3 linked regions of the Oryctolagus cuniculus genome follow. Each later gene encodes a partner of the first gene's protein in a complex. Links are inferred from orthologs where the notes say so. Each region holds a gene or a part of one and is shown in the gene's direction. Other genes may lie near its edges.

Region 1 (3,646 bases):
AGTGACAGAGAAGGAAGCGGGGTGGGGATGGGAAGAGATATCTTCCATCTATTGGTTCACTCCCAGAATACCCCCCAATAGCCAGGGCTGGGCCAGGTTGAAGCCAGGAACCCGGGACCACATCCAGGTCTCCCACTTGAGAGGCAGGGACCCAGGCATTTGATCCATCTTCTGCTGCCTCCCAGGATGCATTAATAGGCAGCTGCATTGGACTTGGAGTAGCAAGGACATGAGTCCAATATGGGATGTGGGTGTCACAAGCGGTGGCTTCACTCGCTGCACCACAGCACCTGCCCCTGTGAGATACTCTTATCCCCCATCTAAAGCTGAGGGAAACTGAGGCTCATACTGGTTAAGTGACTGGACGAGGCTTGAGTCCAGATCCTGTGCGTTCTCCAACATGGTCTCCTGCCTTCGATTCCCCTGTAAACTTTTCTAGACGCTGGCGAGCAGCTCCATAGGGCTCAAGCAGCTTTGCTTCTGTTCTGTGCCCTCAGGATCCAGGGCTGTCAGAATCCATGGACATTGACCCTAGCTCCAGTGTGCTCTTTGAGGACATGGAGAAGCCTGACTTCCCAGTAAGTTCCATCCTGAGCTCAGAGGGATGCAGCTCCTTAGATCTTCCCACCGACTCCTGAACATTCCCTTATGCCGCCACATCTCCCTTTCTGCTAAACGTTCTGCCTCTCACCTTTCTCTTAGTTGTTTTCTCCTACTATGCCCTGTGAGGGCAAGGGCAGCCCCTCCCCTGAGAAACCAGATGTTGAGAAGGAGGTGAAGCCCCCACCCAAAGAGAAGATCGAGGGCACCCTGGGGGTTCTTTATGACCAGCCTCGGCACGTGCAGTACGCCACGCACTTTCCCATCCCCCAGGTACCGTTTCCTAACACCTCATGGCGCTCTGTCAGTGAGCACACATGTCTGTCCCTCCCAGGCCTTCGCTGAGGGTTGGAGCTGTCGCTGAGGGCTTGGGGGGCGGGGGAGGGGGGCCCGGGCATGGGGCCGCCGAGGAGTGTGGCGCATGCTTTTTAAAGAGGCGGCGGGCAGGAGACCAGTGCTGGAGTCTGACGGTGCCGCCGGGATGCAGGAGGAGTCGTGCAGCCATGAGTGCAACCAGCGCTTGGTCGTACTGTTTGGGGTGGGAAAGCAGCGAGACGATGCCCGCCACGCCATCAAGAAGATCACCAAGGATATCCTGAAGGTTCTGAACCGCAAGGGGACTGCAGAAACTGGTGGGTGAGAGGCTCCTTGAACAGATCTGCCCCCCTCCCCAGCCACCACCAGCCGCAGAGTGCCCTAGGCAGTGTTCCCTCCCCCAGCGTAGGGAACGCCCCAGTCACATCCCGATGTCCTGTCTCTTGGAGTCTCCTCAGAGCTCTAGTCCTTTTGAAACTTCCCCCTCATTCCCCCCCTCTGCAGACCAGCTTGCTCCTATTGTGCCTCTGAATCCTGGAGACCTGACATTCTTAGGTACCTCACAGTAAGCCCCATACTGCCCTCCTTCCCTCCCCCTTCCCTCCCTCAACCTAGCTCCTCCCTGTACGTACTCCTCTAAGGGCCGCATAGTCTGTGGTCCTCAAACCTTGGCTTCACTCTCCCCCTCCCTCCCTTCCCTCCCTTCTCCCCTCTTCCTTCCCTCCCCGCCTCCCTTTCCCTTCTCCCTCCTCCCTCCCTCCCTCCCCCCACCCCCCCATAGCCTCCCCCCCCATCAGCTAGTTCTCTGCTGTGTCCTAACTGGCGCCTTTCAACTGTCCCCTCAGGTGGGGAGGATGGGCAGAAGCGGCGGCGCAACCGGCCTGAAGCCTTCCCCACTGCTGAAGATATCTTTGCTAAGTTCCAGCATCTTTCACATTATGACCAACACCAGGTCACGGCTCAGGTGTGGGCCTCAGCCCAGCCCCTTCCCGCATTCTGGCCTCCTGTCCAGTTTTCCTGTCACCTTTATCTTTTGTTTCCCCCTTAGGCAGGCCAAGCCTGCTGGTTTCATGCCCTTCCGCCATCATCCGTTCCTGCTTCCCTGGTTCTTCTCCCCTGCCTCCACTCCCAGCTCACTCCCACTGCCCTTATCAGGTCTCCCGGAATGTTCTGGAGCAGATCACGAGCTTTGCCCTTGGCATGTCATACCACTTGCCTCTGGTGCAGCATGTGCAGTTCATCTTCGACCTCATGGAATATTCACTGAGCATCAGTGGCCTCATCGACTTTGCCATTCAGGTGGGGAAGTTGGGTGGAGGAAGGAGTTCGTGCTGTGTTAGGGCTGTGAGGTCAAGGGTAGAGGCTCCAGCCAGTTTGCCAGGCCATTCGGAGGGGCAGGGAGACTAGCACGGGGTGGGGCGGGGTGGGAGGGGGAAGTAGGGGTGATGGGGGTGGAGACTGGAACATGAGCTGAGACTGCAGGAATAGAGACTTAAGTGCTCCCCGGGGAGGCCCAAGAGACAGATTAGAGCATTGGGCACAGACCGTCCTTCCACCGTGGTGTTCATAGAACTGTATCCTAGAGACTGGTTAGAGGCGTCGTTAGTAGAATAAAGGACAGTGGCATATGGTAACAGGGCCCAGGGGCTCGGGCCGGGCCTTGCCAGTTTCCTCCCTGGCAGGAGGGGTTGTGTGGAACACGAGGAGGGCCCTCGTCTCATCTCTCACCCCATTCACTCTGCTAGCTGCTGAATGAACTGAGTGTAGTTGAGGCCGAGTTGCTTCTCAAATCCTCGGATCTGGTGGGCAGCTACACGACCAGCCTATGCCTGTGCATCGTGGCCGTCCTGCGGCACTATCACGCCTGCCTCATCCTCAACCAGGACCAGATGGCACAGGTCTTCGAGGGGTAAGCAGGCCTTCAAGAGAACTGCAAGGTGCCAGGCGCTCCGGTGCAGGCCTGTGTGTATGGCCAGGGAAGAACACATGGGCTGCCACCATTGGGAAGTGCGTGCCATTCAAGTGGAGACCGAATAGTGTTTCCCAAGAGACTTGAGTCTGTTTCAAGGGATCTTTGCGCGCAGGGCCCCTGCATGCCCTCTGCTGAGCCTCCCCTCCCCTTGCCTTTTCTCGGCAGGCTGTGTGGTGTGGTGAAGCATGGGATGAACCGGTCAGATGGCTCCTCTGCAGAACGCTGTATCCTCGCTTATCTCTATGATCTGTACACCTCCTGTAGCCATTTAAAGAGCAAATTTGGGGAGCTCTTCAGGTAAGAGAGGTGGGAGGTAGAGCGTAGGGAGGGACAGCAGGTCCCATCTCCTTCCTGTGAGCACCCAGCTCGGAGCAGAGCGCAGCCCAGGCCCTGGCGGTCGGGCCAGGGTCATTTGTGGACTGTGGTCTCTGCATGGTACTGCACTGCTGAGGCCTTCTTCCTCACCGACCTTGCCTGCAGCCCATGGCTGTGGGGCACATGCTCTTCCTCCCCGCCTGCAAGACGAAGCCCCCGTTCCTAGTCTCAAATACGCTTCCTTTCCTGCCTAGTCTGCTTTGTCCCGTCAGTCACCCTTTTCCTGGTCCCCAGGTCCCCATTCCCTCACTTTTCTCCTTTCTTTTCTCTGCTCCCCCTTTTCCTCACCACCCCTCCACCTCCCCAGACCTCCTTCAACACCGCTCTGCTCTCCTCCCACCCTCTGCAGTGACTTCTGCTCCAAAGTGAAGAACACCATTTACT
Region 2 (3,746 bases), on another chromosome or scaffold:
AATGAATGCACACAGGAACTAGGATCCCCGCGCTCCAGCATGTCTGTATTGAACGCACAGGGCCTGGCGTACAGTACGAGCCTGGCTGCACTGCACGCTGGTGGCAAGGGTTCGAATCCCAAGACCTCGGGCAAGTGACTTGAGCTCCCTGTGCTTTGACTTCCCCCTCGGCAAAAGGCGTAGAGGCTTCGATGGACACTCCGAAGCACTTGGACCCTCTGCCCGGCCCACGGGAGCCCTCGTCACACCGGCTGGCCTGGGCGGTCGGCAGCACCGGCGAGGGCCGCGGGGCTGCAGCTACACCAGGTCCGCTCGGGGCCGGCGATCGCGCCCCCAACGCGCCAGGATCCGCGCCCCGCGAGAGCGCGCGGCCGCCCACGGCAGCCTCGGGTCGGCTGCCCGCCGCCCGCCACGGGAGCCGGCCGCCTGCACTTCTTTCTTTCCTTCTCCGGCTCCCTCCCTCTTCCCGGCCGGAGAACGCGGCTGCTCTCGGCTCAGCAGCGCCTCCCGCGAGCCGCCGCCGCCGCCGCCGCCGCCGCCGCTCCGGGCCCCTCCCCCGCCCGCCCCCCGCCCCCCCGCGCGGCCGGCGCCCGTCACGTGACGCAGCGGCAGCCAATGGCGAGCCGAGCCGCGGTCGGCGGCCGCCATTGCTGTCAGAGCGAGCGAGCCCGGGGAGGGAGGAGAAGCGAGGCTGACTGGGGAGGAGGGGGGGGTGGGGGAGGAAGAGGAAGGAGGGGACGTCGCTCGGCTGCCGGGGTCGCCCGCTGGCTTCGTCCGCACCCCCCCCTTCGCGAGTTCGCGCTCCGCGGCGGCGGCGGCTCCGAGGCGGCGGCGGCGGCGGCTCCGGGGCTCGCCTCCCCTCACGCGCCGGCGGGGCCCGAGGGGGAGTCGGTGGCTGGAGATAAACAAGGCGGCGGCAGCGGCGGCGGCTGAGGATCAGGGAAGGCGGAGGCGGCGGCCGGCCCGTAGCGCCGGCCCGGGAGGCAGCGGCGGCCCTGAGAGGCGGGGAGGGCGCCGGGCCGCGCGGACAGCGCCCCCCGCCGCCGCCGCAGCCGCCGCCGCCGCCGCCGCCCGAGCAGGAAGGAGCCGCGCGGCCGCCGCGGACCCCCCCGCCGGCCCGGGCCCGCCGCCCCCGGCGCGGCGTCGCCGCGGCGCCTCCCGCCCGCCCGCCGGCCCTCCCGCCCTCCTCCTCCTCCTCCTCCTCCTCCTCCTCCGGCGGCGGCGGCGGCCCGGCCGCTCCGCGCTCCCCGGCGAGGCGCCGCCGCCCGGCCCGGCCTCGCCTCGGACGCCTCGCTCCGACATGCCCCGCTCTGGCGGCCGGGCTCGCGGAGGATCATGACTGCGGCAGCGAACTGGGTGGCGAACGGGGCGAGCCTGGAGGATTGTCACTCCAACCTCTTCTCGCTGGTGAGTAGCCGGGCCGTGGGGAGGGGGCAGGCCGGGGGGGGGGGGTCTCCGACCTCCGCCGCCGACCAACTTTCTCCTCCCGCCGCCGGGACTTCGCCCCTCCCTCGCCTCTCCCCGCCGTTCGCCTCTAGCTGATTCTCCCCCTTTTGGATCGTCGCTCCCTCGCCTTGGATCCCATCCAGTGTTTATTTGGCTCTTTAAAAATCATTTGTGAGCGCAGCGCTCGGCGTGGAATTTGCATGTGGAAGTCTCCAAGCTGCGGATTCTGGGTCGCACTTCGAACGCCCACCCTCTGTTGCAATCACACCCCCCTTCCCCTCCCCTCTTCCCCGTTTTTTTTTTTTTTTTTTTTTTTTCCCCCTCTCCCTCTCCTCTCCCTTCCTTCCTAAACGTGGAAGGCTTTGCCTGGTGCTCCCCGCGCCTGCCATCAGCAGCAGCCTTTGCCCCTCTTGTCGGATCGGCCGCCCGCCTGCCTTTTGAATTTTTTTTTTTTTTTTAAATTCCATAATGACAGCCGCAATTTCGCCCGAAAGCAGTTGATTGAATGCGATTGTGTGGCTAAAGGACCGTCGCCCCCGGAGCTCCGGCGCTCGTAAACACGGACCTGCCGGCCGCCTCCCGGGGCTCCCCGCGCCGGAGCCCCGAGAGCCAGGCCCCCGAGCCGACGGAGGGCGGAGAGAGCGTCTCCTCCCTCTCCCCCTGTGTCTTCTAAAAACTGTTTTCTCTCTGCTGACAACAAATCCACACACACACACACACACAAAAGCAACAAGCTGGGCGGTGTGATAACATCGCTTTTATCTGCCTTCGCCTCTCGCGCTCTCGCTCTCTGATAATTGACAACTTTTCCTCTGGATTTGCATCGCCTGCCTTAATCTTGAAGCAGTTAGGGTGTCAATTGTTCTCGCGGAAGCCCGGCACCCGACGACGGCGTCTGGATCCATCGAAATTAAAAATGTATAGGGCTCCGGCAACTCTTTCCTGGCGGTGGCAGTGACATTTGGTGGTAAATGCCATCTTTGCTTTTTATTGGGTCGTATTACCTAGCTCCGAAAACATTCACGTTGTTCAACCTGGTGTTTAGACTAATAATTGCAATGCGTGGTCTTTAAATGTGTGCTTTGTGCATGAGTTACTGTATGTATAGCTATGTGCCCGGGAGACTACGAATTTGTTTAAATATTGAGCAAAGATTTGTAAACAGATGTAAGGCAATTATGTTTCAAGCGTAGAATATAATTGGAAAATTGGCAGAACGGTTTATTTAATTTAACCTTAAAAAAAAAAAACTTATTTTAAGTTGTGTACCCTGTTTTTTTGAGGGGGGGCCTCTGGACTCTTGGAGAGCATGCATTTTGGAAATTATTTTCTGTAACCCCTGCTGTAGATAGAAGCATTATTTCCTCTTAATCCTTGTTTATGCTGGGTAAATAATTTAGTGTTCAAATTGTAATTAGTTACATTTAATTATGGGTGGCATAGATGCTTTTTTCCCTTTGAGAATAGTGGGGAAATAGAAAATCTTGCCAACTTTTCAAGTGGAAGTATTATTTTATTAAATACATTACAGTATTTATACAGATAAAAACATCACATGTGATTTTCTGTCTACAAACATGGAATGACATAGTGTTGTTTCCACTGTGGTGTGGGATCACCTTAAGTTTTTTCTATCATCAAACATTTTTATCCAGATATTTAATCTTAACATTGAATTGCAAGCTGTGAATCTTCTCTCAGCACTGTGAGAATTTTCCCTTGATCTTTTTGTGTGTGGGAATAAAACTCACTTTGCCTCTTTTCCTCTTCTGTCTTCCTCTCAATCTATCATTTGGTATGAGGTTGAGGGACTTTCATAGATTAGCAAATGTATTGATTAAGGGGCATTTAAAATGGTTTTTGTTTGGCGGCTGGTGACCACATTGACACTTTTACAGGTAATTAAAACAACCAAGTAGACGGATATTAGTGAGGAGAGAGTGCCCACATTACCATGTATCATGCTGACTGGTAATGGCTTGTGTGTATGTGGCTAATTTCTACATGCACTGGATTTTGTAGACAGATGAAAGTGTATGATTTGTACAGTCTCTAAGGTGTATCATTTCTTTCACTTTCTAATAGAGCGTAAGTAAGAATGATAATGTTACAGAGATAAGATGCTTGAGATTCTTGTGGAGAAACTGAGTGTTTTAGGAGGGGATTCTGTACTTCTACTGACTCAAGTTTTGTGTTTTGGGTTTTCTTCCTTAAACTTCTTTACCCAAGGAATTATTTCTTGAATGCATTCTTTTTTAAAAATAGAATTGTCTTTGGGTAGTAACTTTGAAATGCAGAAC
Region 3 (3,746 bases), on another chromosome or scaffold:
ATCCGAAGAATAGAATTGATCGTGTACTTAGGTCATAGCTTTGGCAGGAAGATGATGTGGAGAGGATGTGAGACAGTGATGCCTCTTAGGGAGTTGACCCTGGAAAGATGCCAGCTGAAGTCGAGGGGTGCGCATCCGCAGAGGCACACGGGTACTTGCCGCCTCCTGACGTCGGAGGGGTGTGTCTTAAAACTGTTCAGATCGGTTTAAAAGAGCACTTGAGAATCTTCAGATTGGATGATAATACCTATGTTTAAAAAGGAGTAAGTAGAAGTGATTGTGGCCATAGAAGCTGTGGGTTTGAATTTGGGTTTCAAGTTTCTATAGTAGATACAGAAAGGTTAGTAAATTGTAGCATAAAATGTAGAAAAAAGATACAGACTTGGATAATCATTTCATCTAGGAGCCTTGGATGATACTGGGTATCTAGATTTTAGTAATGTTAATTTTGTCAAAATGTTTGAGTTATAAGTATTTACTTTGGGAAATCACTTCGTAATAGTAAAAGTGATTGTAGGGGCTGGCATTGTGGCGCAGCAGGTTAAATGGCTCCCTGCAACACCAGTATCCCATATGGGCACTGGTTTAAGTCCTGGTTGTTCCAATTTTATCTGGCTTCCTCTCATATGCCTGAGAAGGCAGTGGAAGATGGCCCAAGTGCCTGGACCCATATCACTCACAAAGGAGATCCGGATGAAGTTCCTGGATTCTACATGGCCCCGGCCCAGCCCCAGTCCTTAGCAGCTATTTGGGGAATGAAAAGGCAGATGGAAGATATCTCTGTTTCTCCTTCTCTCTCTGTAACTCTGCCTTTCAAATCAATAAAGTAAATCTTAAAATCATCTACCTTCTAAAAAAAAAAGTGATTGTGATATGTGTTTGGGCGACAGCATGTGTAGTTTTGCTATAAAGAGATGTGGAGAAATGGGACATAAAAGGTAAGTGGTGTAGAATCCAGAAGACTTTTCTTTATAAATGAAAAGGTACTCCAAGATATTGGGAGAGAAGTATTAACAGGGAAGGAAAAATAATGTGGGTTGTTGAGAATATAGTGCTTAATTAGAAAAGGGTGGCATCCATTCTGAGTTGTAAGTGTTAGCTTTGAAACTACCGGAAGAAAAGGGGAGTGCTCTGTCTGTAAACACTAAATGTGACAGGTTTGTTTTGTAGTTCTTCTGTGAATCTTTGGTTTGTTTTTGTAGGTGCTTGATCTTCCACAATGGGTGAGCCACAGCAAGTGAGTGCACTTCCTCCACCTCCTATGCAGTACATCAAGGAATACACTGATGAAAATATTCAGGAAGGTCTAGCTCCCAAGCCACCCCCTCCAATCAAAGACAGTTATATGATGTTTGGCAACCAGTTCCAATGTGATGATCTTATTATCCGCCCTTTGGAAAGTCAGGGCATCGAAAGGCTTCATCCTATGCAATTTGATCACAAGAAAGAACTGAGGAAACTCAATATGTCTATCCTTATTAATTTCTTGGACCTTTTAGATATCTTGATAAGGAGCCCTGGGAGTATAAAACGAGAAGAGAAGCTGGAAGATCTTAAGCTGCTTTTTGTCCATGTGCATCATCTCATAAATGAATACAGACCCCACCAAGCAAGAGAGACCTTGAGAGTTATGATGGAAGTCCAGAAACGACAGAGGCTTGAAACAGCCGAGAGGTTTCAGAAGCATCTGGAGCGAGTGATTGAGATGATTCAGAATTGCTTGGCCTCTTTGCCTGATGATTTACCCCACTCAGAAGCAGGAATAAAAGTAAAAACTGAACCAATGGATGCTGATGATAGCAACAATTGTACTGGACAGAGTGAGCAGCAAAGAGAAAATTCAGGTCATCGAAGGGACCAGATTATAGAAAAAGATGCTGCCTTGTGTGTCCTAATTGATGAAATGAATGAAAGACCGTGACTCATGTTAGTTTTCTTTTTTCCCTTTTGGTAAATAGTATAATATTACTGGTTTATTTTCTTTTGGGCAGTCTTAAAATGAATAACTAAAAGTTTAAATGGCCTTTTTCTTGACTCTCCAGCTTTTTCACTTACGTAATGCCATAGGCAGCAATTTCAGTATATAACAAGTGTAGGCAAACAGGGACCCGTAAATTAAGAATAGTGACCTGAAAAAGAAAATGTTTGCTGCAGATGTGTGGGGCATTCTTTTTTTTGGAGTTGGAGTAAAAGTTTGACAGTGTCCTTGGTAATAGCAAACTTTCATCCTTAAAAAGTAAATTTGTCATTTGCTTTAAGAATGAGGGATAGATACTCTAAAATGTGAAATTATGTAATATTTAAAAATTTACCTAATCTGCATAAGGTAGTATAGCATTTTAAAAGAGACCCATTTGTTATGAAACAAAAACTTTATTTTTCCTTGTGATTCTTGTAACTCTACTACCTCAGTAGACTCTTTTTCCTTATCTTGAACCTTGGTAGGTCCCATAAATTGGTTTTTCTCAGTCACTTGGGTAGAAAGTCTTTGGTCAGCTTAGTTAGAAATTTTAGATTACAGATTTTAGTAATTAAGAGGATTGAAATTACAGATTTTTAAAAATATTTGTAATTCTTTGAAATTACACATTTTTAAAGCTAAGCTCAGACATGATCAAGGCTGGTAGACTGCAGTGGGAGAAGGGTTTGGTGGGAGCAACTGCTCGATGTCCACCAGTGATTCGCGCTTCTTCTTGCTGAGATATCACTGTTCAGCCAGTGACCACATTTCCCTACTGCCCTATATCTGTGTGAGGCCATGTGACTAAGTTCTGGGAAATGGAGTCTGTGCCCTAAGATTTCTTGCACGATCTTCCATTCTGTTCCCCAGTCGGCTAGGTGTGTGCCCACACCCATGCAAGCCTGGTGACAACAGTTTATAGTAATTTGGTTCTAGAATGTGAAGATTAGGTCCTCTTTTAACTCCATTCTTCCTTCTACAGCTAACTTAATGTGAACAAGAAATAAACTGTCTTGGGTACTGAGATTTTATTTCTGTACTTTCTTTTCTCCTCCCTCCTTCCCCCTCCCGCCCATTGGCCTCATATCAGGATCTTTGCCTGCTACTCTCTGACAGAAGCCAGTGGTTCTCCATTGTCCTTTTGGACCAGCAGCATTAGCATCACTTGGGGATTTGTTAGAAATCAAGCTCCTCTGGCTCCACCCTGGACCTTCTGAACCAGAAACTTGCTGGTGCACAGGGCGTGGCAAGCTTGGTGTTAAGCCTTCCTCCAATTCTGATGCATGCTCAAGATTACCATCTGTAGAGATGGGCCTTTTCCTGGGTGATGTGCTTTTGATTTCTCCCTCATTTCCTGTTTACTAGCATAGGGATTTGCTGCATTAAGGTCTCACCAACTCACTGTAAAATGGTTACAGGCCAATTTCCCTGTGTGAAATATGCATTCTTTGCATTCAGACAGAGGCTGTTTCCAATTAACACTTCTAGCAGACAAGAACTAATTAACAAGTCTCAAATTTAAGGTTTTTTTTTTTTTTTTTTTTTTTTTACCAACTGGAATATGCTTGGTGTAGACCTTGGGACCAGAGACCCCCAAAGGACATTCTGGTTTCCCTTAATTAAATTAAATTTGTTCCACACCTCCTCCCTCATACCTTGGTCAGTGAGCAAGATGGAAATGGCTCTTGAACAACTCAACAACCGTTTCTCTTTTGACTTTTTAAAAAATACATTGCTGTGAGAGGAGTGTTGGGCTGAGGTACAAAACCAATTTGGGACCACTTTG

Evidence for each region.
Region 2: MED12 (region 1) and MED13L share a complex: the UniProt entries of both Homo sapiens proteins name them as parts of the mediator complex. The link is inferred for Oryctolagus cuniculus from reciprocal best matches to the Homo sapiens genes MED12 and MED13L.
Region 3: MED12 (region 1) and MED7 share a complex: the UniProt entries of both Homo sapiens proteins name them as parts of the mediator complex. The link is inferred for Oryctolagus cuniculus from reciprocal best matches to the Homo sapiens genes MED12 and MED7.

The regions. Positions count from the first base shown.
Region 1 is NC_091453.1:50,931,450-50,935,095, forward strand, and holds part of MED12 (mediator of RNA polymerase II transcription subunit 12), read left to right. Parts: intron 1-497; coding exon 498-578; intron 579-702; coding exon 703-873; intron 874-1,087; coding exon 1,088-1,232; intron 1,233-1,419; coding exon 1,420-1,470; intron 1,471-1,760; coding exon 1,761-1,879; intron 1,880-2,070; coding exon 2,071-2,214; intron 2,215-2,660; coding exon 2,661-2,824; intron 2,825-3,052; coding exon 3,053-3,184; intron 3,185-3,611; coding exon 3,612-3,646. UniProt on the Homo sapiens protein: Component of the Mediator complex, a coactivator involved in the regulated transcription of nearly all RNA polymerase II-dependent genes.
Region 2 is NC_091452.1:12,780,272-12,784,017, reverse strand, and holds the start of MED13L (mediator of RNA polymerase II transcription subunit 13-like), read left to right. Parts: upstream 1-1,274; 5' UTR 1,275-1,335; coding exon 1,336-1,407; intron 1,408-3,746. UniProt on the Homo sapiens protein: Component of the Mediator complex, a coactivator involved in the regulated transcription of nearly all RNA polymerase II-dependent genes.
Region 3 is NC_091437.1:44,110,803-44,114,548, reverse strand, and holds the start of MED7 (mediator of RNA polymerase II transcription subunit 7), read left to right. Parts: upstream 1-1,219; coding exon 1,220-1,921; 3' UTR 1,922-1,926; intron 1,927-3,746. UniProt on the Homo sapiens protein: Component of the Mediator complex, a coactivator involved in the regulated transcription of nearly all RNA polymerase II-dependent genes.